Linked DNA regions of Rhinolophus ferrumequinum. The protein of the gene in region 4 purifies or fractionates together with the protein of the main gene of each other region. This does not show direct contact. Links are inferred from orthologs where the notes say so. Each region holds a gene or a part of one and is shown on either strand. Other genes may lie near its edges. The genes, in order: DYRK1B, FKBP4, SMYD2 and PTGES3.

The links.
Region 1: the proteins of PTGES3 (region 4) and DYRK1B purify together in Homo sapiens (affinity purification with mass spectrometry; 3 studies listed by BioGRID and IntAct, with this or other methods). This does not show direct contact. The link is inferred for Rhinolophus ferrumequinum from reciprocal best matches to the Homo sapiens genes PTGES3 and DYRK1B.
Region 2: the proteins of PTGES3 (region 4) and FKBP4 purify together in Homo sapiens (affinity purification with mass spectrometry; 3 studies listed by BioGRID and IntAct, with this or other methods). This does not show direct contact. The link is inferred for Rhinolophus ferrumequinum from reciprocal best matches to the Homo sapiens genes PTGES3 and FKBP4.
Region 3: the proteins of PTGES3 (region 4) and SMYD2 purify together in Homo sapiens (affinity purification with mass spectrometry; 3 studies listed by BioGRID and IntAct, with this or other methods). This does not show direct contact. The link is inferred for Rhinolophus ferrumequinum from reciprocal best matches to the Homo sapiens genes PTGES3 and SMYD2.

Annotation. Positions count from the first base shown.
Region 1 is NC_046298.1:38,800,078-38,808,037, forward strand, and holds the start of DYRK1B (dual specificity tyrosine-phosphorylation-regulated kinase 1B), read right to left. Parts: upstream 3,004-7,960; 5' UTR 2,801-3,003; coding exon 2,722-2,800; intron 1,461-2,721; coding exon 1,297-1,460; intron 313-1,296; coding exon 190-312; intron 91-189; coding exon 1-90. Other genes in the region: FBL (rRNA 2'-O-methyltransferase fibrillarin), read right to left, coding at 3,985-4,009, 4,142-4,287, 5,067-5,179, 6,253-6,385, 7,307-7,477.
Region 2 is NC_046293.1:87,936,808-87,944,067, forward strand, and holds the start of FKBP4 (peptidyl-prolyl cis-trans isomerase FKBP4), read right to left. Parts: upstream 3,001-7,260; 5' UTR 2,753-3,000; coding exon 2,648-2,752; intron 627-2,647; coding exon 482-626; intron 23-481; coding exon 1-22. UniProt on the Homo sapiens protein: Immunophilin protein with PPIase and co-chaperone activities. Component of steroid receptors heterocomplexes through interaction with heat-shock protein 90 (HSP90).
Region 3 is NC_046305.1:18,452,917-18,460,584, forward strand, and holds the start of SMYD2 (N-lysine methyltransferase SMYD2), read right to left. Parts: upstream 3,017-7,668; 5' UTR 2,854-3,016; coding exon 2,681-2,853; intron 1-2,680. UniProt on the Homo sapiens protein: Protein-lysine N-methyltransferase that methylates both histones and non-histone proteins, including p53/TP53 and RB1. Specifically trimethylates histone H3 'Lys-4' (H3K4me3) in vivo. The activity requires interaction with HSP90alpha.
Region 4 is NC_046293.1:55,858,972-55,866,285, forward strand, and holds the start of PTGES3 (prostaglandin E synthase 3), read right to left. Parts: upstream 3,012-7,314; 5' UTR 2,536-3,011; coding exon 2,534-2,535; intron 1-2,533. UniProt on the Homo sapiens protein: Cytosolic prostaglandin synthase that catalyzes the oxidoreduction of prostaglandin endoperoxide H2 (PGH2) to prostaglandin E2 (PGE2).

The DNA.
Region 1 (7,960 bases), on a different chromosome or scaffold from region 4:
ACCGTGGTTCAGGACCTTCTTCTCCTTCTTGGTGCTTGAGTCCTGAGGGGGTGCCTGCTGGGCCCGCCGTTTCTTCTTCGCATAGTAGACCTGCCCGGCCGGCCAGCCAGGAGATGAGGACTGGTAAGTGAGCTGTGCCAGCAGCCAGGACCCCTCAGCACCCAACCTGGGCCCCCCACCCCAGCCCACCTCATTGATGTGCTTGTAGGTCTTGATGAGGTCCACGGAGAGCTTGCGCAGTGGGGCCGAGGTCGAATCCCGGAAGGCCAGGGGGAGCCTCCGCGGCAAGAGCCGCACATCAGGGAGTACCTGCTGGGCGGGGTGAGCGGTGGGCACTGAGGACAGACCTTCACCTCCAACCTCAGGGGGAGAACTATATGGGCAGCTGGTTCATTGTTACCACACGCATATTTATGTGGTCACTGTCTGACAACCCCACTAGCAGAGAAAGTCCCCAGGGGCAGAGGCTTTGTCCTGTTCTTGCTGTATCTCCGGGGCCGGGAGCAGAGCCTGGCACGTAGTGGATGATCACTAGAGATTGGCTGGGTAAATCATCACACACATTTACTCTTTCTGAAACTCAGTGTGAGAGCTCACATAGAAAACCTGGGCTCTGCTCCCCAATCTTTCGCCTGACACCATCCATTCTGGGTATCCCACCTTGAGGGCCCCCGTCTGGTTTTACCCTCATCCCCTGGGGATTTCCCAATGTTCACACCTCATTCTTTGCCCCGTTCTTTCACCTCAAGGGTCTTTTGCTCTGGATCCAGCACCCAGGACCTCCCACTCCAAACTGTATTTCCGAGCCTTAACATTCTCTCCCCTTGAAGATCTTCACCCTGTACCCGCAGGCCCTGCTGGCTCTGAGACCCTTCAGGCTCAACCTTCCTCCCCATTCACCCCCTCAGATCTTTCATTCTAGACTTTTTTTTTCTTAGTGAACATTTATTGTTTACTATGTGCCAGGCACTGTCCTCAGCATTTTACATGCATTTCATTAACCCGTTTAATCCTCACAACAACCCTGTGAGGTAGGTATCATTATTGCCCCCATTTTACAGATCAGAAAACTGAAGCATGGAGAACCTAAGTAATTTTACCACCAGTCTGGATTTGAACTCAGGCCCTCCAAACCCTGACTCTGCCAGCAGCTCTTCTATTATCTTCCACTCCCATGGGGCCCTTCATGCCCCTGGGAAACTGTCCTGGGCAATCATACTGTCTTTTGGCCCCAGCACCCTTCTATCCCCAGCCTCCCCCGACCCCAGGCAGGTGAGGAGCCAGCTGAACGCGTACCTGCGTGTGCTCCTGGGGCCCAGGGAAGCCAGAGAAGGGACCATGGCCCGGTGGAACGGCCATGGTGGGCTCAGAGGGCCGCAGGGGAGCGAGGCCTGGAGCGGGAGCCCGGCCGGGGGGCGCCTTCTCGCATCCTGCACCTCGGCTGCCACCGCCGCTGAGACCTGAGAGCAGGCGGGAGGCGGGGGAACAACACGGAACAGGGGATGTGTGGGACAATGCCAGGCAGGAAAGAGGTGAACATTAGAGGGCAGGGCACAAAGGGAGAAGGAAAGGGGTGCAGCAGAGCAACAGTTGACAATGCAGAGAGGGGACAGAGAGAAGTGGCCAGGTGAACGGTAGGGAAAGCACAGTGGAGTCCCTCAACAAATGATTACCAAATAAATGAGGTAGGCAGCACAAAGAGGGACATGTGAAAAGGAGTGATTAGGCGCAGGCAGGATATGGGTCATGACAGGAAAGGACAGAAAGACACCAACAATTGGGGGCAGGAAGAGAGGAGAAAGACAGAAACCACAGACAGTATAGGGAACAGGGTTCACTCCATTTCCACTTGCAGCCCTCCCCAGAGCCCCCTCACACACGATCCTGCCCTCCTGCAGTCTTCCTCGAAAGTAAGGGTGTCATCTCTTATCACAGCAAGGTCCCTCTGCTTCAAGATCTGCCTTCCCAGAAGACCTCCCAATCCAGAGAACTCTAGGGTATCCCCCAAACCACATGAGAGTCCTCTGTGCCCCTGCCAAACCATAGCAAAGTCCTCTGCAGGCCCCTAAAACCACATCAGGGTCCTTGGGGACTTCCTGACCACTGTTATCTGAGAACCCCTCCATATCAGACTCCTACCCCTATGGCCCTCTCACCCACAAGGGCACACCCTTCTATGCCAAGACCTCTTCTCCATATTATTCCCTCCCACCTCAGGGGCCACCCCTCCATCTAGTTTCTCCACACCATATTCCAGTTCCCTCGTGCCACAACGCAGCTCTCCCCGGTATTAGTCCAAGGCCCCCTCCCAGTCAAGGCCCACTCCTGATGGGCACAAAGGGGAAGCCGAGCGCCTCTTCCCACGGTTTAGTGATCGTCCTTCTCTCCCCTACACTGGATCCTGCCCACCTCCTCCCAATCCAGCATTCCTACCAGGGGCCTTTCTCCAGTCAGTCTGCTCCACTCCAGTCGATCCACAACTGTGCCCATTCCTCGAAGGCCCCCACAGCCAAATTCCCCAAATATCAGAGTTCTTTCCTCCCAGAGTATCTGCCACACCAAAATCCTCCCACAGGCCTTCCCTCCTGTCAGTCCTTTTCTTTTATGCCAAACCTTGCCACTCCACGACCCCTCCTCTCTCTTGGAGGCCCCCCCCCAAAACAATCTCTTTCCCGGGGCCCTCCCACACCAGGACCGTCTCTCCCAGTCCCCACCCCGTACCCGGGTCAGGGCTGGCGCGGGGCCCACGAGGGGCTGGGGCGCGGTGGGGCCCCCAGTGGGGTGGGCGAGCAGCCAGCATGGCGGCGGTGAGGAGACGGCCGCCTGTCCCGGCCCGGCCGGCCCGGCAAGCCCCGCAGCGGGGAGGGCAAGCGGGACAGGCGGCCCGGTGGGTGACAACAGCAGCAGCCGCCGCCGCCGCCGCTGGGGGAGGGAAAAGGAGGGGACGAGGGTCAGCCCGGGGCACGCGGGGGTAAGGAAAAGCAGGTGGACGGGGGAGGGGTGGGTTAACCCTCGCCCCGCCGGCCCCGCCCCGCGCAGCCACCCGCCCCCGGGGACACCGGCGGCCCGCCCCCCACCCTAGCGGCCCGCCCCGGCCCGCGGGGTCGGCCTGAACTTGGCAGTCCACACCTGCCATGGCAACAACCGTGCCATTGGTCGCTGCTGCGAAGAGCTCAACCAATCACAGTCCAGGGCTGCTGTTGCTAGGCAACGGCGATGCGGCCGGCAGAGCTGAGCCCAAACAAAGGGCGGGAGCGGGGCCCCGCTACCCCCTCCAAGGACAGCTCCCTAGGGCTCGGCCCCTTCCAGGAATCCGACTATGAATAGCCAGGCACGGCCTGCACCAGCCCGCCGCTCCCCTCCTCTCCTCCCTCGGCCTCGTGCTAACTCTCGCAGCGACGCGGGCAGGGCGGGTCCCGTACTGCTCCCCCTACCGCGAGCGCGAGCTGCGCGGTCCGTAGCCGCGTCGTTACCTGAGAGCGCGGGCAAGGGGACTCAAACTGCTCGGGAAGCCCGAGCTCAGACCTGCCAAGTGGCTGAAGGTATCTGGCGGACGCGGCGAGCCAGGGCCCTGATTACCCAGTAATGCAACCAGCAAAATGGCGACCACAACAAACCGGCCCCCCCCCCGCCCCAGGCTCCGCCCCCACAGCCCCATCTGCTCCCTCTCACGTGACCCAGGGCAACACTCCGCGCCTGCGCTCATCCGAGCTCACCGGCACATAAGCGCAGTGAGCTACCAACCCCTCCCAAGCGCCGAAGCCGGGTTACAGCGGTGCAAGAGGTAGCATGCGCTGTGTACCCGGATGAGAATGTCCACCCCCACACCGCGCAAGTCGACCAAGGGCGCCTGCGCCCTATTGTCACTAGAGGTCGCCAAGCAATCAGCTGACCAGACAGGAGCGACAGATGAGTCTTTTAATAGAAAAACACACGTGTAACAGTAGCAACACAATCTCTCACAATCCAGATGGGTTCTGGGCTTCAGTTCTTCACCTTGGGAGGTGGCCTGCGAGAAGAAGAATATAAGGAGCGTCACAGCTTGTCACCACTGTGCAGGCACTCCTAAGTACTGACCCGCGTGGCTCTGAGCGTAGGGGACAAATGTCTGTCCTGGCGGAATACTGGGTCTTCTGCTCACCTGTACACACCCACGACCACAGCGTGGTCTCTTTCGTATGGCTCTAGGGTTAACTGCTCCTGGGGCTTCATGTTCTCCTGTTGCATCTTTTTCACTTCAGAGGCAAACACTGCCTCCGCAGAGGCTGTGGAGTCAATGCAGTTGGCCTAGAGAGGAAAGAGGATTTGAAGTCTACAGCGAGGTTTTGGGTTATTTTATGTGTGTGTGTGCTCTTTAAACCGGAAGTATTTATTTTACTGGAAATGGTGAAACTCACTCAGGTTTTGGAAATTTTCAGTTTGGTCTAGATTTGGAAAAGGAAACCTTCAACAGAGCCCTATTTATTTAAATGTCAGTGTTTGAATTTTTTACTCGGGTTTTTTTTCCCCTTCTATTTCCTCTTCTCTAAAAGTAATAATGAAGCTGAGAATATGAAAACAAATGTAGCAGAAATCTTAACAAAATGGTGAATCTGGTGGAAGGGCACACAAGGAAGTTCACTGTATTTCAAAATGAAATGTTTTTTAACATGCACCTAGTATTTATCTAGTATTCTATACCAGGCTCTGTTCTAAACACTTCACATGTTGATAAATTTAATCCTTACATCAACACTAAAAAATAGGACTAATATTTCTATTTTACAAGTCTAGAAATAGGCACACAAGTAACTTATTCAAAGTGACAAAGCAAACTGGAATTTCAACTCAGATGGTCAGACTTGGTGATCGTGCACTTCCCCACTACATTCTATTGCCTCTTTAAATCCAAAGCTGCTAGTTTTGCAGAAATTTTTCATTATGTGCTATTTGGGGGCAGAGGATGACTTATAGGGAGAAGGGTTGGGATAGAGGCTGGGAATAGACTGGATTCGGAGGGATGGAGGCTCCCTTGCTTTGACTGGCTGCTTGGCAATTACTGATAGAAAAGATATGAAGCCCCGCACCTTAATGGAAATCACAAAGTGTCCTCCATTTCGTAGGAAGGTGTGGGCATTCAGGGCTACTATTCGGGTCTGGTCTGGCTGGGCCACATCGGCAAAGATCACATCTACCATTGCTAGGGAGAAAAAAGTGGAAGTTAAAAGCTGGGTCCACTGGATCTTCCCAGCTCCTCCCATGGGGCCTGTGCCCCGTCACCACTAGGTTCCTGGTAAAGTCTTTCCTGCCTCCAGTCTCACTTCCCCCCACTGACCCCCCTCCCTCCACGGTACCCCCAAGATAAACCAAAACCCACAATCACACCATTCATTCACGCCTCTTATAAACCATGGTTGCCACCTACTCTGTGGCCAGCCCCGGGCCGGGCGTGGGGGACAGAGAGACGAGTCAGACCCGGACCCTGCCCTCGAGACGCTCCCGGGTCTGGGGGGGAGACAGACACGTCATCAAAAAGGCAAGTAAAGATGAGCACTTACAGGCAAGAGCGTCTGCAGGATTGTCAGATGAAAACAAGTTGCAGGACAAAGGGTGTGGTATGAGTGCATGGAAAAAAACTCAACAAAAGAAAAACCAGCAGAATGCAAAGTAGTATTTTTTAAGGCAGTGTGACTTAAAAAAAAAAAACTTAAAAAAATGAAAAGATGGTGTAAGGAAACTGACTTTTTAAATTGGGAAGAGCAGACATCAAACTGTTCATATAAATTACCTAGGGGTGATTTATAAAGCATTCCATTTTTACAATATGCTTCCGAAGTTTTTCAAAAAAACAGTCATTAATATTCACAATGGGCCGCTCCGAACCAGGCCACACTCAGTTTGTGCTTTCTGGGTTATAATCTCACCAGATGATGAGAAGAGGACTTTGGAGGGAGGCTTTTACACAAAGGCCAGGGGCAGTGTAAAAGCACCATTTTTTAGAGGGAGGTAGGAAGTATGGGGGCGCTAGGGAGAGGGGCAAGAGATCAGAGGAGAGAAGGCTGGCCCTCTGAGGGTGCCAGACATCTGAGACCCTGAACCAGGACCACCACCTTCACAACCTCACCTGGCTCCCCCCACCCTTTGCATTCCTGCAGACTCAAGAGGCCTGCTCATCCACTCCAATTCCATCCAAATCAGGGCTCTGGCAGCCTCTTCCAGGAAACCTGGAGTGACCTGTCCTACCCCACTTGGGCCAAACCCCAGACCCCTCACCGATGAGCATGCGGTATTTGTGGGGGTGCCGAGCATCTTCGATGACAGGAATAATATTGGTCCTTTTCTTGGCCAAGTTAATGAGGTCCCGGCCAGAGCGGTGGGAGAACTCAACTGCATAGACCAGACCATCCTAAAATAAATAATAACGAAGATACTAGTTCTCATGTGTGGAGCACCTACTTTGGGCCCATAAAATGCACGAAGCATCTCCTCAAACTCCCAAATCAAAACGCTACTTTTAACAACTATTGTTGCCATGTCCATTTTACAGATGAATAAACTGAGGTGCAGAGACTTCATGAAGTCCTTGGCCCAGGGTTATTCACTCCTGCTTTGCCTGATCTGAAAGCTCATGCCCCCAATACAGGCTTAAAACCAGGAAGCTAGGGCACAGAGATGAAGTCATAACAGCTAAGAATATTTGCAACAGGCCAGGTATTGCTCTAAGCACTTTATAGGAATTAACTCAATTATCTTCACAACAAACCTATTTACCCAGAGAGGTAAACTGAGGCTCAGAGAGGTTAAGTAACTTGCTGAAAGCCATGTTACTGTTAAATGCCTGCACTAGAGCCTGGGGTTTCTGACCACTAAATTACACAGCCTATAGTTATACAGATAAGCTAGGTGTCGTGAAGTGAGATGCACAGGTACCCTCTAAACAGGGAGCCTGTATAGCAAATGCTGGCCCAGAAATTGAAATCTCCTGTTCTTTCAAGAGAAACCAGACCACCAGACTTTGGGAGCATCACTTGTTTTAAACAGCAACCAAATCAAATAATCTGGTATCTGTACACTCAGCTCTGGGTCCCTCTAACACAGGTTACTCCAATGCTCACGCCCCCCTCCCTCCGGGCCAAGAACTCAGGAATGAGGCTGAATGAGGCTTTGGAGAGCAGGCAGTTCAAGTACCTTTTACTAACAGGTACTCTGAGGAGGGCCTTGCTCCAAGCCATGCCGTGCAGGGCTTCTGGCTGGCAGAGGAGGTGGCCTTTCTCTCCCTCCCACCTTCCCACCAGCCCTTCCTCACCCTCCACCCCTGTTCACTCACTGGGCCTACGATGTCAGAGACATGAGAGACGGTGGTGCCCGACGCAGCCCCAAGGTAGAGCACTTTGGCCCCTGGCTTGATGTGAATCTGGTCCACGCCTCCCAGGATCGCGGCGGCCAGCTTAGAGCGGAAGGGGTTCCAGGCGCGGTACTCGATTTTGTCATCTCCCTCCTGGGCAGGAAGAGATGGGGATGGAACTCAGTGCCAGACTCTCCTGTGAGACCCCACTGCCCTTAACTCTAGGGCCCTCAAAGGGATGGGTGCGCAATCACTGTACAAGAGACAAATGTGGACAGATATCAGTGCCTGCCCTCTCATGGAGGTTACTGACTCAGGGAGAAGGGGCAGCGACAGATAATAAACAGGTAAGATCGTACCAGACAGTGGCAAGATGTATGCATTCATTCCACAAACATTTATGGTGTCAGCACATACTATGTACAGACACTACGGTAGGCACTGGGGATACACAGTGACGGCGACAAGAGATCCCTCCCCTCAAGGAGTAAGTATATATACACTGAACTGATTCACACCATGTACAACACAGTAGCCAGTGACAGGTGCTGAGGAGAAAAGATCAAGCCAGGGAGAAGAGAAATGTGGGAGCAAGGTGAGAGACAGGTGATAATGAGAAAAGGGGGTCCAGGAAAA
Region 2 (7,260 bases), about 32 Mb from region 4:
TCCCAAGCCTTGATGACCTCCCCTGTAGGTACAGAAAGCAAACAGGTCCTTCTTGGTAGGGCTCTGACTCTGGGCTCAGTGGTCCCGGAGTACTATGCCTGAAGGGAAGCGGGACATGCTTTAGAAATGGGATCAGGAAGGTAGGAAGCTTGGTTACAGTAAGTGCTGTCAGGTCTCAGACGTCTCAAAAAGATGATAATAATAATAATAATAATAATAATAATAATAATCACTGTATTCTGGAACAAAGGAGTTCAAGAAACAAGGCAGTCCACTTCTGAAGAGGAAGTGAGGTATTTAGAGATGATCAGGTAAATGAGAGAAATCAATACTGTTACAAGACAAAGGAATAACAGAAAAGAAAAAAAAAGTAACACACTGTTATAAACCACTCCTCCAGTGAGCTTCTGAGAATATGGTTTCTGCTTGTGACAGCGTATGCTCTCCTCAGTCTACCTACCAAGCCACTAACCACGCCTACCTTTTCCCAGGTCAAAGCAGAATTTGTCCTTGCGGTCCAGACTGGAGTCAAACTTGGTGCCATCTAACAGCCAGCCAGTGTAGTGAACTGAGACTCGGTCCCCAATCATGGGCATCTCTGTGCCCGTGCCCTCTCGCTTGATGACCTTGGAGGAAGGGGAGAAGGTGAGAACCCAGGGAGGGGGATAGAACGAGGCACAAAACTGCCTGCATGCCTCTGACAGGAACATAGAGGGACTCTGCTGCCTCCTTGTAAGTAGATTCAAGGGACCAATCCTCAAATGATTCTGACATGGAACTTGGCTAGAAGCCAACTGACCTCGCTGTCTTTCTTGAGGTGCGACATGATTTGGTTTGAAAAACTGGAGTCAAAAGACCCAAGTTCAAGTTTTTGCTGTATGATCGTGGATAAGTCATTCAAACTCTCTAGACCTTATTAGTAAAGTAGTGATGATAATTCCTCTTAGAGCTGTTGGAAGATTAAATCGGTAAAATTTATTATCAGCTGCACAGGGAGAACTGTTTATGCTGTTTCCTCATTCTTCTTAAATGCCAGTGGTCATCAGATTAAGATCTAGTTTGGAGATCAGGAGTACTAGTAATGAAGACTCAAAAAGAGGGAAAGGAATACACCAGGTTACAGATGAGCGCAAGGGCTCTCGATCAGACCCCAAACTCTCACTTGGGACATGAGCATTCCTGACTGGTAGGTGAGGTAAGTCCTAGGAACTTATAAGCTTCTGCTTCTCTCCCTCAGCATTTATAAAAGATAAACTCCATGTGCAACCTGGTAGGTGTGACGTTGCCCTCTTCAGGAAAGCTTCCATGATAGAATGGACAGGGGACTGAGGAGTCAAGTTAAGGGAAAAGAGTGGAGGATGGTGATAACCTTGTAGAAATCACCTGACACTGCAGAGAGAAGGGGAAGCCACACCGCCATTGGGAGAACAGCTTGAAATGTCAAGATTGGGGCAAAGCACTTCTGGACCAGGTAAAGGCTCCCTGAGTTTGCCCAGGTCACACACACACGTGGAGTTGAGCAGTGGGCATGAGATCCCGGCAGAGATTTCATCGTCATCCTGGACTCCGCAGAATCTGCTCTGAACCAGTTGGTTGCCCTGACCCAGGTCAAGTTGCCCTGTTCCCTGAGTCCCAGACCCCTCCCCCTTCACTCCTCTGGCTATTTGCAGTCAGGCGGTTACACAGTAGCAAGCTCCCAAGCAAAGCACCTCCTCTCGGCCCCGCACCCCACACCCCAAATCAGAAAGGGGGGGGCCGAGGTGCGATGGAAACTACAGGTCCCGGCATGCACCGCTCCCTGGTTTTCCCGGGGCTGGGGGGAGGAGGGATAGCATGGTTGAGCGAGTGACCTAGCTGAGTCCCAGCCTTTAGAAAGGGGGTAACGAGAGGGCGGAGGTCGCGAGAACCTTCCTCGCGGCCAGGACAGGCGCCAAAGTTGCACGCAGACCTCTGGGCCAAGAAATTACTCTTGAGACCCACTTCAGGTCCTAGCTAATATTTAACTGTCAGGGATAGGCGAACTCTCGCACCACCCGGGATGAAGGCGGCCCAGGACCTTCCCCGCTGCTGCCGGCAGGGAAGGAGCTGGCAGCTTGGCCCCCCCCGCGGGGTCGGAGAGAGGTGAGGGAGGGGCGGCGTCGGCGGAGGCCCGGCCCCGGGTGCACGCTGCCCCGGGCCCCCTAGCTGCAGCTCGCGTGCGCCGCCGCGCCCCTTCCCTCCCCTCTCCCCCGCCCCCCTCCTCGCTGCACCGCGCACGCCGGAGTTGGCGTTGCAGTCCCGGCCCCTTGCCCAGGCCCAGGCGCCACACGGCTGAGGGTGCCCCGGGGCTGGGAGTCTCAGCCCAGAACACAGGCTTTCAAGGGGGCCGGGAAAATGGCCAAGGGGAGGCCTGCGCACCTAGGCCACCCTTTTCCGAGCGTGCGGCTGCTCTCTCGCTCCCAAACGCAGTCTAGTTCAGGAAGGCGACATAACTGGCCGCCCGCTGCAGGACCACTCAACAACTGTCCCGGAGGCTGCAGAGGCAGCGGTCCCCGCCCCGTTCCCCGGTCCGGGGCTTCCAGGCTCGGCGGGAGAGTGCTGCGATTGACACTCGGGGCTCGGCCGCCCCCAGCAGGCCCTGAGCTCCCCGGGCGCCCCTCGCCCTTACCTTCAGTACTCCTTCATCCTGCTTGGGGCTGATGTCCACTCCCTCCAGGGGCAGGGGTGCCGACTGCGCCCCGCTCTCGGCCGCCTTCATCTCCTCAGCGGTCATCGCCGCTCGGTGCGCCGTTTACTCGGGGAGCTGGACACTGGGCACGAGCCAAGCCCTCTCGGCCGCCGGCCTCTCTGCACGGGGGTGCGTGCGCCGGCCCCACGGCCGCAGACCTGAGAACCCGTCCAAGGCTCGAGCCCCTCTGCCTCCCGGTGCGCTCGCGGCCCGCAGCGGAGTCCGGCGCGGGAGCCGGAGTAGGTGGGTACTGAGCGGCCGGGGGAGCGATTGGTCCCACCCCGCCGCGGAGGGAGGGGCTGGGAGGAGTCGGAGCGGGAACGAGGGACGGAGGGGTGGAGATGGAGAAGTTTCTAGAGACGGCGGCGGCTAATCTAGTTCGGGCTCTAGTGCCAAGGGCGCTTATATGAAAATTTCTATTTCTGGTTCATTCCTTCTGCGGGTTGCCTGGCCCCTCTCCCCCGAGTCCTGGGACCCTCGGACTCTGGAGACCGCCCCTCCCTGCCCCGTGTTCTCCCAGGCCCTCCCTCGCCCTGTTCCCGGTCTAACCGGATTCTTCCAGATCCTTCTCGATGCCCCTACATCACTCCAGTACCTAGCCTGCCAACCCAGATCCGCCCTATATATTGCAGCCCGCAGCGTGGTTTGTTCAGAGCTGTGTAGCCGGATGTAAGTGGCAGTGCGTGGGTCTCTCCGGGACCGATGCGCGCATTTTTTATAAAAGCTGACTGTAAACAGACGGCATGGCCTCCCCCTGCTCACTCCGCGTGTGCACTTACCGAATTGGGGAGAAAAAGGGGAAGGGAATTCGCGGGGCGGAATAGGGGGACAGTGAGTGAGTGGCGGTTACCCAAGTGCACAGAATTGGGCGAAAGCAGTCTTGATTTCCCCAGAGCGGGGAAGATGTGCCACCTTCAGTTCTTTAAAATGCTACTGAGCAGCTGATATTCAAGAAATGACTCGCTGCGCTAAGAGTTCTTAAATGGGACACGTATTAAAGGGACCTTCCCCGACAATAATAAAACTGTCGATTTGGCTGATACTTAAAAACAAAAAACGTGCCTGACCAATGTGCTATACACCGAAAGAGCTGAAGAAGAATAACACTAAATACCAACTATAACTAAATATATAGGTATATATAGTCACGGGATGTGGAGTACAACATAGGGAAGATAGTCGATGGTATTATAACAGCTGTATAAGATGTCAAGGGTAGTAGCTTGGGGGGTGGGATGGGTTATCACTTTATGAGGGGTTTAAATGTCTAACTGTTACCGTTGCTTTGTACACCTGAAACTAAAAAAATAACAAATTTTAAAAAATGGTTTCAACTCATGAAAAAAGTCATTACATTTTACTAAAGGCCCATGGGAAGATATATTTTCTTCTTAATATTTGGTTCCTAAGTGTTTATTGACTGCCTGTGGAGTGCAGAGTATCTGTGCAGTGGGTCAAAGCAACACCTAGTTCCCAAAAAATAGCCTTTTGATAAAAGGATCCATGTAGAGAGGGTCTTAATTTTGCTCAGCACTTAGCCCCAGTTTAGCATTGTTCCTGGTGAATAGTTCCTGGTGAGTGGTATCAAATAATTATTGGCTACATGCATTTGTATTCCAATAATTAATAATAATAATAATAATAATACATTTTTTGGAGCCCTCGCTATGCGCCCGGCACTGTGCTCTTATAGGCAAACTGTCCCATTTAGGTAGGTAATTAAAAGACTGTTCAGATGAAACTTCAATACCATAACATAATTTGATAATTTATCATACTCCTTTCTGATAGAATTTCACTGGAAAGAGATGCTGAAGAAATAAAACCATTTTCTCCAGCAATTTACAGCAAATGAGTTTAGCCACAAAAAGACGTTTCTCATTAGATGACAGGATACCCTCAAAGGATATTGAGGATTGACTCTCTAGGGGTTAAAACAATTTCTTTTCTACACTTTCCGTAGTAGGATAAGAAGTAACAGTGCCGAGGCCCTCCAAAACTCCAGGAGTCAGGGATCGAGGGTAAGGTGGTGGCTTGTGGGTTTGGCAGTTATCTTGCTGTTGGTTTATGCACTTGCTTTCAGCATGTGCTAGTTTCTTTTGATGCTAGGGCCACTGGCATAACAAGGTGAGATAGAAAAGGTTCAACTTTAGATTAGTGATTTCTGCATCTTTTTCTTTATTGGAAGCAAACAGGATAGGTCTATGTCTTTTAATTCCTGCCAGCACTCATTAATTGAGCACTTAAGATGTGCCTGCCATTGCATAAACACATAATTTAATAACAGTAGAAAGAGCATATGTGTTGGAGGAAACAAAGAATTGGGTCGCCCACGTGCTAACTGTTTGATTTGGGGCAGGTTCTGGGGATAGTAATGTCTGTCAATGAGGATGGTGATGGTTAAAGATGAAGGAATGTGTATGTCAGGTATCTAGCACAATGCCCGCCTTCAAGTGGGTGGTTAATAAATTATGGTCATTATTCTCATGTGATAAGTGTGATGGTGGAGATAGGGACAAAGTGCTAAAAATAGAGAGGTCTGTGAGAGAGGGGGAAGATAGGGTGGAAGGGAAAGGGGAAAGACAAGAGGGAAGGGTTTCCACTGAGAAAGTTCTGTCCCCATTCAGTGAGTGAGTAGATGAGGGGCTGGGAGGGGAAAGGGGGAGGAGAGGGACAGTAGGCATTGGGCTCTTGAATCTCTGAGCAGGACCTTATTGTTTCCAGAATTTTTTTCTGGTTATTTACGTTATAGTCTTCTGATTGTAAAACTTACACATATTCAATGTAGAAAGTGCATGGATGTTTTGTTCTTTCCCTCCTCTTCCTTACCCCTTTCCCAGCCCTAACACTAATTTAAATTAGTATTCTCATCAAAGATGTTTAACAATGTAATTGTTTTCACTGGTATCATCTAGACATTCAAAATCGTTCCGAAATTTTCCCCTTTTGCTAGAGAAAGATAACACACTTTTTTTTTTTTTAAATCATCTACCTTACTCTGTAGGTGACTCATGCTGTGGTTAGAAGTTTTGTTATTGCCAAAATGAGCCTTCCTGAGCTCATTTGGTTCACTTCCCTAATGCTGGGCCTGTCCTTCACACATGAAGACCCTCTTGTTTTTTTAAAGTTGCTATTTTGACCTTCTTAGGCTACCAGTGCTCTTAAACATGTAAAAAATTATATAATATTTGAATCATTCAAAAGAAGGTGAGGCATATGCATGTACATACGAGTACACATGTTATGTAACATACCAACATAATGAACCTTGGGAATATATCACCCAACCTAAGAATTAGAACATTACCAATATGATTTGTGTCAAAACTGTAATACCAAAAATGGTAAGTATCCTTACGTAATTTCTTGCTACGTTTGGTATCTGTTTACTAAGAAAACACAAACTATACCACTGGCCAAAACGGCTACTATACATTTCATGAAACATTTATTTATTTACTTATTTTAGTGATGACAGCTGCATTTTCATACATTTGAAAAATAGTAGACCTTTATGTGAGGCCTGCACACAGTGGAGACGTGCATAGTGTAAAGATTAAGCTCATGGACTCTGGATTGGGTCTACCTGGATTCAAATCTCAGCTTCGTCATTGAACACACCCCATAGGTCCTTGGGCAAGGGTGTAAGGTCTGTGTCTAGATGCATTTTTTTGCTTGTGGATGTCCAGTTGTTCCAGCACCATTTGTTGGCTCCATTGTATTGCCTTTGTTCCTTTGTCAAAGTTCAGTTGACTGTATTTATATGAGTCTTATTTCTGGCCTGTCTTTTCTGTGACACTGATCTATTTGTCTATACTTTCACCAAAACCACACTGTCTTGATTGCTGTCACTTTATAGTAGTAAGTCTTGAAGTCTGGTAATATCCATCCTCCAACTTTGTTTATCTCCTTCAGTATTGTGTTTGCTATTCTGAGTCTTTTGCCTCTTCATATAAGCTTTAGAAGTTTGTTGATATCTGCAAAATAATTTGCTGGGATTTTGATTGGGATTGCATTGAATCTATAGATCAAGTTTGGAGGAACTGATGGTGTGACAATATTGAGTCTTCCTATCCAAGTAAAATGGACTTTCTCCCCGTTTATTTAGTTCTTTGATCTCCTTCATCAGAGTTTTGTATTTTTCTTCATGTAGATCTTGTACATATTATGTTAGATTTATATCTTTGTTAGATTAGATTTTATTTTGGGGGTGCTAATGTAAATGGTATCCTGTTTTTACTTTCAAATTGCACTTGTTCATTGCTGGTATATGGGAAATACAAAGATTTGCATATAAATCTCTATCCTGCAACCTTGCTATAATTCCTATTAATTCCATTAGTTTTTTATTGTTGTTGGTTATTTTGGATTTCATACATGGATGATCATGTCATCTGTGACTAAAGATAGTTTTATTTCTTTCTGCCCAATTTTGGTTAGAGGTTTTTTTGTGTGTCTTGTTTAGAAAATCTTTGCCTATTCCATGGTCACAAACATAGTCTCCTTTTTATTTTTGCTTTTTAAAATTCTAGAAGCTTTTTTTTCAGATTTTT
Region 3 (7,668 bases), on a different chromosome or scaffold from region 4:
AGGTGGAGGAGGGGCAGTAGAACCGCCCCTGGTGAAGGGTTTCAGGCAACAGTTAGCGACACTAACAAACAGTCATTCAGAAAATGGAGGAGGAAAGCAAATTTTGTCACACGTGGCAAGGTGATCTGCCAAGTTGCATCTGACTGTATATTAATGTTCTAAGGTTTGGGGGTATGTGGAGTAGACAGGAGATTCACAGCTAAAGAGAAGCTCTGAACCCAGAGGGATTTTGATTTGTAATTCACTGGAGGAGTGGACTTGTACTACCATCTGAGTACCTACTATGTACCTGGCACTGCAGTCTTCTTTCACACGATGGACTCCAGGAATCACCAGGATCCCTGATGAAGGGAGGGAGGCACCTTCTGTGACTGGTGACCCCGCTTTGCTCCTGCCACTCTAGACACCCACACTGCTTCAGACTCTGAGCCACAGCAAGGCTCAGAAGATCAAGGGGACCAGTCACAGCAGCCTTTTTAACTTTGGGAAAACCCAATGCTCACTTCACTCACATGTCGCAAAGTGGTGCCGTGACCCTTTAGCTCTTGGCTCACCAATTCAAAGAGCCACATCACATACAGCCCTTAAGCTGCCCACGGTATGATTCTGTGTCTAGTTCCTTTCCAGGTCCCCCCAAGCGGAAGATAGCTCTGGTAGGGAGTCTGGGCAAGATTACTATAGTATTTAGCTTTTGTCCCTTTTTTTTACTATGTCTTATTATGGAATAAGGTGCACAGGTCTCAGAGATAGAGTATTTCAGCGTATGCTGGACTTGAGACCTGTATTCAAAAGGTACCTGCAGGACATCAGCTTCACTTCATCTAGCCCAAGAATCTCCATTTCAAAGATAAAGAAACTGAGGTTCAAAGAAAGTACAGCAGGATCCATTCCTCAGAGAGTAGTGGAAGGCCAGGTACAGAGTTAATGCCAAAACCATGCTTCCTGCCTCACTAATTTTACCGAGCACCTAACTACGTGGAAAATGAACAGAATTGAAGAGACCAGATTTCATTCTCTTAACTGTAGGTGTGACTATGTATACACAGTTACACTTCCTCTCTGGGTATTAGTTTTCTTGCCTGTAAAATAGAGAGAGTGTTGCATTGGGAATTTCTTCTTCTTTTTTTTTTTTTTTTATATATTCCTTAGCTATTCCCTACATCTCCATGACTACTTTGTAACAACCAATTCGTACTTCTTTATCCCTTTTTCACCCATCCTCAACTGCTCTCTCATCTCCCCCCACCCCAGTCTGAACACCATCAAAATGTTCTCTGTATATATGACTTTGTTTCTGTTTTGTTTGTTTGTTTTGCTTTTTAGATTCCACCTTTAAGTGAAATCACATTGCATCTGTCTTTTGCTGTCTGACATACTTTACTCAGCATAATACCCTGCAGGTCCATCCATGCTGCCACAGTGGCAAGATCCGATTCCCTTCCCTGGCCGAGCAATATTCCGTTGTGTACATGTACCACCTACTCTTTATCCATTCATCCATCGATGGACTCCCAGGCTGCCTCCACATCTTGGCCATTGTAAACAATGCTGCAATGAAAATATGGATGCACACGTCTCCTCAAAGTAGCGTTTTGGGGTCTTCAGATAAATACCCAGAAGTGGGATTATGAGGTCCTACTTTGTCTCTTGTTGTAGCCTTTGTTTTAAAGTCTATTTTGTCTGGTATAAGTAGTTACCTTGTTTCCATTTTCATGCCATATCTTTTTCCATTCTTTTACTTTCAGACTGTGTGTGTCTTCTGACCTCGCATTAGTAATTTCTTTTTTTGTTTGTTTGTTTATAGTAGCTTTATTTGTAATTACACGTACTTTCAAACTGTAGGAGATTTATAGATGTAGACACTGATGGACATAGTATCAGTATTGTTCCTTAATCTAAGGATCCATGGGGTAATTTCTAATGTGCCTTTCAAGTCTAAAGCTATCATAAGACTTGAAGATATAATTGTGTTGATGTGAATAAATATGCATATATACGAACAGAGACACTTATACATGTCATATGCTACAATTAAATGCCACACATTTTGCCTAATCCCCTCAGCGACCATGTCTACCCAGTCCCAAAACTGGGCTGGATACATCCCATCAGTGCAGACCCTCAGAATCCCGGGGGTCTGGTACCGCCCCTCTGGCTTCTCTCCAAAGTGCAGAGACTACGAAGGAAGAAGAGGGGCCATATACTTTACACGAAATGTTAAGTGTCATTAAGTTCCTTGAAGGAAACAGCAAATCTGCGGCAGGGCTGGGCTGTGGGGAACAGAACAAGCCGCAGGAAGCACATGTACCTGGAGCCCCCGCTGGCAAAGCAACGAGTGGGCAGCGCCTGGCCAGGCGTGGCACAAGCCTAGCTCTGAGCTCACGCTGGAGAGCAGGACTCTGCCCTCCCAGCTCCCAGGCAGGTACATCCTGCGTACGCAAGTCTGAAAACGTGCCATGCAGGCAGAGCATGCGGCGGGAACTTGCCTCCGGTTTCCTATCGCCGGTGGCTCAGCCCCGCGTGGGGTTAAAAAGCCCCGCCCGCCCCCCGTGGCCGCTGCCCCAGAGTCCGGCGCTAGGACCCTGCGCGCCGCGCGCACTTCCTCCCGCCGCGGTCCGAGCCGCGGCGCTGCGCCCCCGCTCCCGCCCGCCCGCCCGCCCGCCCGCCGATCGCCGCCTACCTGGCGAAGCAGTGTTCGCAGTGGTTGCCCCTCTCGTTGACCGTGAGCACGTAGGCGTAGGCCGGGCAGGAGAAGAGCAAGTCCCCCACCTGGAAGGGCTGCAGGGCCCGCAGCCCCCGGCCCTTGCCCGGGCTGCTGAAGCGCTCCAGGCCGCCGTATCCCTCGGCCCTCATGGTGGCGGCGAGGCGGGCGGGCTGGCTCGGAGGGGCGCCCGGCGCTGGCTGAGCCCGGAGCTGCGGCTCCCCGCGAGCTGTTATTGGAGAAGCGTCACCCAGAGCTGCGGGGGGCGGGGTGGGAAGCAGCCCGGCCGACGCGGCGGCGGCCACCGCTCCCCGGAAGGGACGACGGCCCCGCCCGGTCCTCGCGCGCCCCCGGCGGGACGGGGACAAGACCCGCGGTCCCGCCTCGAGCGCGGGACCCTCGGCGGCAGCCCCGAACGCGCTCGGGGCCGCTTCCGGTGTGGCCGCGACAAAGAGTTGCAGCCTTTGCGGCTCCTGGAAGGAGGACGTGAGACGTCTGCGCCTCCGCCGCGTCTCCACGGAGACAGCGGAACGCTGTCCCCCGTCCCGTGGGCAGGATAGGGTCGCCTACGGGGACAAGTATCCAAGGCGTCCCCTGGACAGTCGGCTTGGCCCATAGGATGACCTGTCCTTGGTAACTTGAAGGGGGCAAAGGTGGTTTTTAGCCTCATGTGCATGTGTCCTCGTCAGGGACCCTAGAAGGAGTCATCCGGGAACACGGAAGAGAAATGACAGTAGAAAAGTTTGATGTGCTGAGGATTTAAGGGTGGTTCCTTAAGTTTAAAGGTTTTTAAACTTTGCAGGGAGCCTCTCGAGTTTTGTTCGGTGTGAACATAATCATCCCTCTGCTCCTCTAGCGGGAGTTAATTACACGGACGGAAGAGGAAATGCACAGGGCCGCGGAGGTCAGACGCTGCCGAGGAAGCCAAGAGATAACCTTGCCTTCAAGGAACTTAAGCCGCTTGTTGGGGGCAAGGCCCTGCTGTGGCCAGAGTTGGACCACTCACTGACTGTCACGTTAGAAAAGTCAGGTTATGCGGCTCATAGAGGATGTTAACAGTGCTTGGCACATACGTCCTGTACACATGCGTGCTGTTGAGGTTGTTCCTATGAAAAAGGAGGACATACTCTGTGTGCCCATGGGCTTATGTGAAGGCTGAAGTTGACGTGCATTCAGTAAAGACTAAAAGCATAAAGAGAATAGAAAACACTTAAAACTCGTCTGTTCTCAAACTATGTTACCTGTGTAAGCTCAGGACTAGTTCAGCAAAAGGAAAGACGCATATGATTTGGGGTATGTCATAAGGTCCGTAGAATTGTTGACACTTAAGTGAAATTCCTAAAATGAATAAGCCTGTAAAGAAAAATACGTTAGGGATACGATTTCATTTATGCATTTAAGAAGCGTTCGCTGGGAGCTCCCACTATGTGCTAGTCACGAGGATAGAAAGTTGGACAAGATACAGGCCTGGGTCTTTGCATTCAACACATTCACATTCTAATAATTAACCATTAGTTATTGAGTATTATGGATCAGGCTTTGTGCTAAGTGCATGAAACACAGTATCTCATTTAATCTATAATAACAGCCACCCAATGAGTTAGGTGGTATGTCTCCCATTTCCAAAATTAGGCAACTAAGACGCAAAATAATCCCCAAGGCCACACAGTTAAGTTGCAGAGTTTGGTTTCACCTTCAGGTCAGTCTGAATTTGAGGCCCATGCACTCACCCCAAATGTCCTTTTGCAAACAAATACAGCTTACTAAGTGTTATGGTAGCTTGTACAAAGTGTTCTGTGGGAATACAGGCAGTGCATGACAAACTCAGCCTGGGGAGTGAGGGTTTGGTCTGAGCCTAAAGGATGGACGGGACTTTGCACCTGTAAGAGGAGAATGGTTTTCCAGCCAGAGAACAGCATGTACAGGCAGGGGGGCCTGAAAGAAGAGCATGTAAACGTACCCCTCCTCTCCCCCACCCCCGTGTGATTCTGAGTGGGACAGAGAGGGCAGGAGGTGAGGGGAACAGTGGAACGGCATCCTCTCATGGGGTGAATTTTGTCCCAGATGTGTGGGAGTCACTGAAAGTATTTAAACAGAGGGGTCCAGTGTTTTAGACTGAGTTCCCTGGCAGCTTTGCAGATAGACTGGCAGGAGAGAGGACTGAACACCAGCATGTAAGGGAACATGTCCAATATTTTAAATGGGAGATAAAGAAAGCCAGAATTAGGTAGTGGCATTAGGGAAAGAAGCAAAGGTATGTCAGAGTAATTCCAGTTTCTTGCTTGGCATATGGTCTCCATATGGGGAGATATAGGCAGGCAGATAACACAGAATGTTGGCTTGCTAACTATAGCCGGATCAATCTTATATGCTCGAGACAGGAACCATAAATATCCTAGAATTTTGGGACTGGAGGAAGCATTTTCTTACTAATGAGAAAAGTGAGACCCTGTGAATTTAAATAACTTGCCTAACAACCCAGGGGTGGGCAGAGCTAGCATGAGATTCCACCACATATTCATTCAACATTTAAACATTCATTACCTGTGTACTGTGTTCCAATGACAGTGATAAGGGCTGATGATATAATGGTAACAAAAACTGACTAATGACTTATTCTCTGCTCTCAGAGAGCTTTGTATGGTCTGGAGGAAGCAGACATTAATCACATATTCACACAAATACAAACTCAATGGTCTCAAGTGCTAAGGCAGTGCTTAGGGGATCTACACTAGTCTGGGAAAGCTTTCCAGAAAGTAATGCCTGAACTAAATCCAAAAGATGAACAGAATTCAATCAAGAGTAGGGGGGACAAGTATTCTGAGCAGAGGGAACAGCATGTGCAAAGTTCCATAGGTGTAATCTGTATGAAAGAGAGTGACTGGAGCAGAGCTAGAGGGAGAGTGATGTTTGAGATGGTTTTAGGAGGTAAGTAGTTCTCCTGGTTGGTCAAGCTACAGGATCTACTCTGACCAAACATCCTCCAACAGGTGCCAGACTACTCTAATAGATGAGCTTTATGCCAGTCATGCTGCTATCTAAAGCGATGCTGATTGTTGTGTTTTATTACAGATGGATATTATATGTTAATGAAAGAAATTTCTCAAACCTTAGAAGTTTCTGAATATGTGCCTACCTAGGCAAATCTTGGATAAATTTTTGGGTTCTATAGTTTTTTTTAACTTTCTGCTTTCTGGGGGCTCCAACCAGCACAAAGGTGAAAAGATGACATAAAAGTAAAGAAACAATTATAAACAGTACACACGTTACAAGGAGTAATTGTGCAAAGTAATCTCCTTGTTTACTTTTTTTATTGCAAGTACCTGATTTTTTCCCCTTTCATTAAGAAAGGTTTCCAACCGCTGAGAAAAACAATAGCGTGGTTACTGAGTTGTCTTTCCAGGTACGTGGTGACTGGAACAGACTTGTTCTTGTGGGTGAATCACGTATTCCTGTGATTTAAGAACAAGGGAAAAGAAACATACTCGTTTCAGAAAAATGCTTGTGCTGAACTCCAGTGACTAGACATGGGGAAATGGTCATGAAGCAACAGCTATGAATTGAGGAGCTTTAAATTATGAAGAAAACTGGGTTTAATATAAATGGCGAAGGAATGGCAACAAACCAGCCTGGGCAAACTGATGACAGCACTCTTGATTCAGTTCATGCTTGTCAGTCTGCCACGCCACATTCTCACATTCCGTGCAAGAGTAGGGACGCCTTCCAGCTGTCAGGGTCCCTCCATCTTTTCCTTCTGTCCCATGGCTTGGAAGGAATGGAGTTTGAATGGAGTTTTTTGGTCACCTCACTGTAGCTCAGGTGATACAAGGACAAAGGCCCCCTTTGCTTAATATCTCTAACCTAGAAATTGGTTTAATTCGTGAGTAAAATTTCCTTCCAATCACAGATTAGCACATGAAAGAAATATTAATAGCTCTGGCCTAGGGAAGTCAAGCCTTAACAAAGTGAAGTCCTGATAAACGTGGGCAATGGACCTATACCCTATACCGGCATACCTCTGCATGTATTTCAGTTATTGATTATAGATTATATGCTTAGGCTGTGGTAGACCCTTGTTCTACAAAGGTGAAAAGACCAACCTACATGCAAACAGTTATGTAGTAGCTGCTGAATGGCAACCAAAGGTATTAGGTCCCAATCCCTGGAACCTGTAAACGTTACTTTTCATGGTTTAAGAGAGTCTTGGAGATGTGTTCAATTGAGAATCTTGAGGTGGCATGATTACCCTGGTTTATCAGGGCTGGCCCTCAATGCAGTCACAAGTGTCCTGACAAGAGAGAGGCAGAGGAGATTTCACACAGACAGACAAGGAGGCAGCAGTGTTATCACAGGGCCAGAGTGGTGTACCCACTGACCAAGGAATGCAGATGGCCACCAGAAGCCGGAAGAGGCAAGTCACAGATTTTCCCTTAAGAGCCTCTGGAATGAGTGTGGCCCTGCCAACACCTTCAGTTCAGCCCATTGATGCTGATTTCAGACTTCCAGCCTCCAGAACCATAAGAGAATAAATATCTGTTGTAGTAAGCCATCCATTCTGGGGTAATTTGTCACAGCAGCCGTAGGAAACTAATATAAATTATAATACAATAGAAGTTTTAGTAGGAAGTCGAACAAAGTAGAGCAGAAAGGCTTCACAGAGGAACTGAAAGACTAGAAGGAAGATAAAGATTGACCAAGGGAAAGAAGGCCCCCCAAAATGGGTTTAAGATTCTGCAGGTGTAAATTCACTGAGGTAGAAGAGAACTTGACAATCCAGAGAATTCTTTTTCTTTAACAAACATTTCCATAGCTCTTCTGATGTACCAGGGCACTTTGTAAATATATACTCACTTAATTCTCCTCACCACATCTTGAAGATGAAGACCCCGAATCACTATGGTTAAATAACTTGTCCAAGAGAACAGTGGGGGTGGCACTGAAAGCGAGCTGTGTGTGACCCGTCCGTC
Region 4 (7,314 bases):
TCTGCACTCAAGTGATTTGTCCATTCCAGTTTCTACTGCATTCTAGTTAAAGTCTAACTAAGAAAAAAGTAAATCCAGTTGCCAAGTTACAGTGGTTAGGAAATCAACACTTAACAAAGGCCATCATCAGTTACTCTTCCTTAACTTACAGAAATTAACTATCTAGCACATGTTCACTATTACAAACTGTTTTGGAGGCTAAAGACTGATTTTATTTTGGGGTCTCAATCTTATAAAGTGGAGTGATGGCAAAGGAAGAAAGATTTTAACCGATGTTAAATAGTCACAGTATGTTTCTGGACAATTTATTAAGTACCAGACTCCAGAAAGAATGACTTCAAATAGCTCAAAATTAATAAAACATTTTCTTTGTATCTATTGTTTATGGGTCCAATTGTTATGGTCCAATTTAGAATTAGAACCAACAAGAGCTAATTTAAAAAAAAAAACAAGTAGTGCCCGCGCCCCACCCCCCAGAGGCTTTGGCTGGGCTTGTCTTAAATGGGCAAAGGGAGGTCCTAAAATCCTAGCCATCTCCAAGGTAGGTGAGAGATTGATGGCTTTTATGTAAACTACTAGACAAAACTTTAAAAATTTGATTAGAAGAAACTTACCTACAAAATCGCTACTAAAGAGAATTCAGTAAGAAAAAACAGACCCTAAAACCCTTAATATATCCAGCATAAATGTCTCTCTCCATATCTAAAAAAATTTTTATAGCAGACATCAACAAAATGATTATCAGACCATTATCAGACAGATTCTTCCTAGGACTGGATGACCCATTAAATGTTTTTTTGCAACTAAGCAACTGACTCATAATATTCACCTTGTAAATTCATTCAAGTCATTATTAGTTCAGTAAGATCCCCTAAAGAATTTGCAAGGTGACATATACTGAATATTTTAAAGAGGATGAAATTATCTGGCCTCTTCAAAACACTCATTTTGAAGTAGCATTCTTATAAACTACATAGAAGGCTTTTGGTATTGGTTGTTACACTTTTAATCCACTTACATAACGTGTCTTACCTACTTTATTTTATATGATCTCTAGAAAACTTCTATTTCAAACCATACTAAATATGGTATTTCTTTGTGAAAAGATATATTTGGCTACATTAGTCTATTAAAAGTTGGTAATGCTCTGAGTATTCATTTTGTACTCATATTTTAAGATTGACAATCCTGCTACATTGTTTAGAAGAGATTTCAAAGGGAAAAACAAAAGCTATTTTACATAGATCAAAATCTATTAGATACCACTTTTAGAGGGGGAAATCCTTCCAAAATGCTAATATATCCCCTTTACAGTAATACATGTGTTCTTCTAGAGGCTTGTTCTCCGACATCAACTCAGAGTGTATCCTTTCCATTTAAAATTCTAGCCCAATATACTCACCGTCAGTTATTATTTTAAATGAAATTGAAAGTGCATTACTTTTTATAGGAATAAAAATTGTTCCCCTTCTATTGCTCTCCGTTAAAAAGGAGAGCAGTTAAAAAACAAAAAACAAAAAAACCCCAAACCTATAAAACCTGCAGTTCTCACATCTGAAAAGGTAAAAACTTTTCCTGAGGAGAATGTGAAAGCGCGGAAGCGGCAGTGCCAAGAATTCTTCCTCGGTTACAATCACCAAGGTTTTCCTACACCATAAAAAAAGAATCTGTAGTTACCCCCACGTAAACACATTTAAGTTCTTTAAAACAAGGCAGTTATATACCTATTTCAAACTTAAATTAAGATAGGATCATGAAACCTCGCACAAAGTTTAACAGAACACTGAAAAATGTCCACAACTATCCTTCGACTCGACACGTGCAGAACTACCTGTTCTATGGTATAACTCCTCGCTGCCAGGGACACGACTGAGTTTAGGCAACCTTCACTCTCTTCGAGAGACCGGAGCTAGGAGGCGGCCTGGAAAGCCCCCCGCCCACTCGCGAAATCACGGCACCCGTGAGAAATGAGTTGTGGTGACGATTTGGCCTCCCTCCGGTTGCCTAGCAGTCCCTTGTCGCTCACGGTGGAGGGCCGCGTGGTGCTCTACGAGGAGCACCACCGGCCTCTGGTAGCACCCACCACAGGTGCACTTGGCCCAGGACCGGCATCTGAGAGCGGCAGAACCAGAACGCCCAAGAAACGAAGTAGCAATCCAAGACGGTCCACGCCTCCAGGGCGCCGCATGGCAAAAAGCTCACAGGAGATTAAGGCCTACAGCTAAGTTCCGGAGAGTTAGGAGCGACCCGAACAGCCCAGGGGAAAAAAGTGGGATTTCCGGCATGGGAAGCTGAAGGACGGTTTAGAGGTGGGGGAAGCGGACATCTGGAGGAAAAATGTCCTCCACCCGCCAACGGTAACCGGAAAAAGGATACTGGACCTCCCACCCCTAGGCAAGAACGACTGCCACCACGGAGGGGAGAAAACTGAGGGGCCGAAAGCGGGGAAGGAGAGGGGGCGCTTTCCGGCAACCCCCAGCGTGGCCTCGGCCTCCCTCTGGGGCGACCATCCCTTGGCGGGTGTCGCACTCACATCGTGAACGGGGCAGGGGGACGGGTAAACGGGTGGGCGGGCCTCTCCGGTGGCAGCTGCTGGGCAATCGACTCCTCTCCGGTGCCGACTCCGGCGTTTTCTCCCCGGTGCGGCCTCTTCTCGCTTCTCTCAGACGAGGGCGGCGGAGGGTTCGACCTGGGTCCCCAGAATGCACCGCGCGGACAGAGCGGCTCCTCCGGTCGGGGAGAAGAGGAAAGTGTAGGAAAAGGGACGCGAGGACGGAGAATGAACGTGCGTGCGTGCGAGCGAGGGCTGGTGAGGCCGGGCGGCGGCTGGTGACGCAGCAAAATGCCCGGGCCCTGCCGCCGCGCCTGCGCACTCTTTGTTTTCAGGCTCCGGCCCGGCTTTCTAGAGATATCTACGGAAAGGGCGGGGCCTCCCAGCTCGTTCGCGATCCTTCCCGGCGCAAGCCCCGCCCTTCGCCCCCGCCCTCCGGCCTGACTTGTTCCCGCCTCTCCTCCCGCGCTCCCTTCTCGCGTTAGAAAACCGTTGGCCACCTAACTGCCTTGCCACGCGCGTTGGGCGACCTACCCGGGAGACTGATGCGTTGACAGCGGGAGGAAGGTTGAGGTGGAGGGACGCACGGAGGCGGGAGGCTTGGAAAGTGAAATGGGGGATTGGTTACTGTGGAGGGAACCCCATCAGCTCACTAAGGATACGTCCACCGCATAAAGATTTGAAAAGAGCGCCTTTCGCTGGTGATACTTGCGAAAAAGGGCTAACTTCAGACTCGAGGGCCTCGGTCCACTTCGCCATTTTTCTGAAGATTGGAGACCCTGCCCAGGGGCAACAGAAATTTGAGGCCTTTGAGGAGGAACGTTTGCCATTGGGGGGCGAGCATTTGCCCCTGCTTCGAGAGATTAGTACTGTAGGTGAGACAGGAAGATTATTTAAGTGGAGAGCCAAGGTTTGTGGAATGGACTAGAACAGTCGTGTCTCCAGGCACATCAGTTGGGGAAGAGTGTTCCCCATCTGTTTTCAACCGATCTCTCCAAGTGCACTGCGGCTTTGTGCAGGGCAATGCAGGATAATAACCAAGAATCAAAACAGTACATGCCTACTCCAGAAGGCCGCGTTTAACAATGGAGTAAGGAAGAAATACAGTGCATCCCTAGGTAGAATACAAAGGAGGTTTATGGAAAGTGCTATAAGACGTTTTTGGAGAAAGTGGGGGTTTCATATTAAACATTAAGCAGTGTCCTGGGTGGTGGGTTAGAGCACAGTGCTCTTAAGGATGCGCGTTTGATCCCCTCATGGGCCACCCGTGAGCTGCGTGCCCTCCACAGCTCTATTGAAATAACTACCTAATTTGGAGCTAATGGATCCTGGAAAAATACACTTAGAATAAATTTTTTTAAAAAAGGATTTAGTGTCTATGCTGTGCAAGGCAGGTATTGGGAACAACTGGACCCTGTGCCCAAATCCTGTTAAAATGGAAAGTTAAATCCCAGCTCTCAAATAGTGATTCTAAGGAGCCTACTGCCTGTTAGGGGAAATAAATACACAAATCAGGATAATGGGAGTACAAAAAGTAGTGGGAGAATGAAAGGAGGAGAGGTCGAAAGGAGGAGATACCGATATTGACTGGAACAATTAGGACAGGCCTCCTTAATAAAAATTACCCAAAATATGGAAATAGGCAAGGAGTAGAGGGATGACCTTTCAGTTCATACAGGGATGTGGTTTAACCTGTTTGCCCAATGATTAGTCTCTAGGAGGGAGATACCTGCGTTTGACTTTGCTATTCAATACATGATTGGAGCTCAAATATTGTGAAGTTACTTGTTAAGTTGTAGACTTCTGACTGACAGAAAAGCTAACCCCAAAGTTACGGTTTTGTTGCTCTGTAAGACAGTTTCCTTTAACTTATTACCTTATTCTATTTATTTTTATGCCTATAAATACCTACTTCCTTAAATGCTCCTGGAACCAGCTTTACCATCTTACTGGTTCTGTCAATAAGTTAAATGTCTGGCTCACGTTAATTTTATATTTGTGGGAGAATCATGTTTTAAATTTTTTTTTTTATAAACTTTTTTTTAAAGATTTTATTGGGGCAAGGGAACAGGACTTTATTGGGGAACAGTGTGTACTTCCAGGACTTTTTTTTCCAAGTCAAGTGGTTGTCCTTTCAATCTTAGTTGTAGAGGGTGCCGTTCAGCTTCAAGTTGTTGTCCTTTCAGTCTTAGTTGTGGAGGGCACAGCTTAGCTCCAGGTCCAGTTGCCGTTGCTAGTTGCAGGGGGCACAGCCCACCATCCCTTGCGGGAGTCGAACCGGCAACCTTGTGGTTGAGAGGACACATTCCAACCAACTGAGCCATCTGGGAGCTCAGCGGCAGCTCAGCTCAATCTTAGTTGCAGTGGGCGCACCCCCAACATCCCTTGTGGGAGTCAAACCGGCAACTTTGTGGTTGAGAGGATGCGCTCCAACCAACTGAGCCATCTGAAAGGCAGCTCAGCTCAAGGTGCCGTGTTCAATTTTAGTTGCAGGGGGTGCTGCCCACCATCCCTTGCGGGACTCGAAGAATTGAACTGGCAACCTTGTGGTTGAGAGCCCACTGGCCCATGTGAGAATCGAACCAGCAGCCTTCGGAGTTAGGAGCATGGAGCTCTAACCGCCTGAGCCACTGGGCGGGCCCCAAAAACTGGCTTTCAGAAAAGAAGTTTTTGAAAATTCAGACCTGTTGCTTCCGAATTCATATTGTATACCCCTGTTGGGCATATTTCAAGTGGGTTCATGTTAGTGTAACTCTGGAAATGGCTACTCACCCAGAAGTTGCACAAATACTGTAGTTATCAGGTTTATCCATGGCTTTGCATGTTATCACAACCATTAGCTGGTGGGGACCCAAGTTGTACCAGGTTCTTGTTTTTGTTTTTTCACATTCACTAACAAGTTCTGTTTCTAGTAGGGCCCCAAATCTAGATTCAAACATGTATGAGGTCTGACACTTAAGTTCGCAAACTCATCCTAGAAAAAGTGCTATATACCTCATTGCTGAATATCACTACAGTCACCTTCGAAGTATTCCCCTTGGGAATCTATACACCAATGCCAGCGCCCAGTCCACCCTTCAAAGCAATTTTGGAACTCTCCGGAATGGCCATCAGAGTTGTCATATTACCCTATATCCTGAATATCATCAAAATGTCTTCCTTTCAATATTTGCTTTATCTTGAGGTAAAGAAGTCATTGGGGGCCAGATTAGGTGAGTTAGGGAGGTTAACTGTATCCAATACAGTTATTTGTTTACTGGCTAAAAACTCCCTCACAGACAGTGCCATGTGAGCTGGTGCATTGTCATAATGCAGAACCATGAATTGTTGGCAAAAAGTTCAGGTTGTTTTCGTCTAACTTTTTCACGCAATTTTTTTAGCACTTCCAAATAGTACACTTGGTTAGCTGTTTGTCCAGTTGGTACAAATTCATAATGAATAATCCCTCTGATATCAAAAAAGGTTAGCAACATCGTTTCGATTCTTCATTTGGACTGACAGAACTTTTTTGGTAGCAGAGAATGGTCTGACTTCCATTGTGCACGTTGACACTTTGTTTCAGGGTCGTATTGGTACACCCATGTTCCATCACCAGTGATAACACAGCCCAAAACATCGTCTTGCCTCTCCAAAAGGTCTTGGCAAACTTCAACTCTCCTTTGCTTTTATTCATCAGTGAGCTCCTTTGGGACCATTTTAGCACACACCTTTCTCATGCCAAGATTTTCAGTTAAGATTTTCCTAACTGTTTCTTTTTAAACTTTTATTTATTTAAGTGTGTTTTTCCCAGGACCCATCAGCTCCAAGCCAAGTAGTTGTTTCAGTCTAGTTGTGGAGGGCGCAGCTCACAAGTGGCCCATGTGGGGATCGAAAGAGCAACCTTGTTAAGAGCACCACGCTCTAACCAACTGAGCTAACCGGCCGCCGATACTATTTGTCTATCAATGTTTACTTGGTCTGCTATGTTTTTCACAGTCAGCCAGTGATTTTGGTGCACAATTTGATGAATTTTTGCAATGTTTTTGTTAGTTCTGCTAGTTATTGCCTGCCCTGACCGCTCTTCATCAATGAGGCGTTCTCTCCCCTCAGAAAAACGTTTAATCCATTTGTATACCTCCGTTTCCTTCACGGAATTATCCCCATAAACTTGGACATGTCCCTGATTTCACTTACACTCTTGCCAAGTTTAACAAGGAATTTAATGTTTGTTCTTGGCCAGCCCAATATCTCAGGCGGTTGGAGCTCCATTCTCTTAACGCCAAAGGCTGCTGGTTAAATTCCCACATGGGCCAGTGGGCTCTCAATCACAAGGTTGCCAGTTCAATTCCTCGACTCCCACAAGGGATGGTGGGCAGCGCCCCCTGCAACTAAGATTGAACATGGCACCTTGAGCTGAGCTGCCGCTGAGCTCCCAGATGGCTCAGTTGGTTGGAGCGTGTCCTCTCAACCACAAGGTTGCTGGTTCAACTGGGGGCGGACCCCCTGCAACTAACAATGGCAACTGGACCTGGAGCTGAGCTGTACCCTCCACAAATAAGATTGAAAGAACAACAACTTGACTTAGAAAAAGTCCTGGAAGTACACACTGTTCCCCAATAAAGTCCTGTAAAACAAAAAATGTTTGTTGGTTGCTCTAATTCAAGCTCAGACATTCTTGTGACGGTGCACAAAAACACAGAACAATAATGAACGCCACTCAGCAAGACACCGCCACACGTCCACATGAACACAGCTGTGAGACACTGATACACCAAGGTTATGAA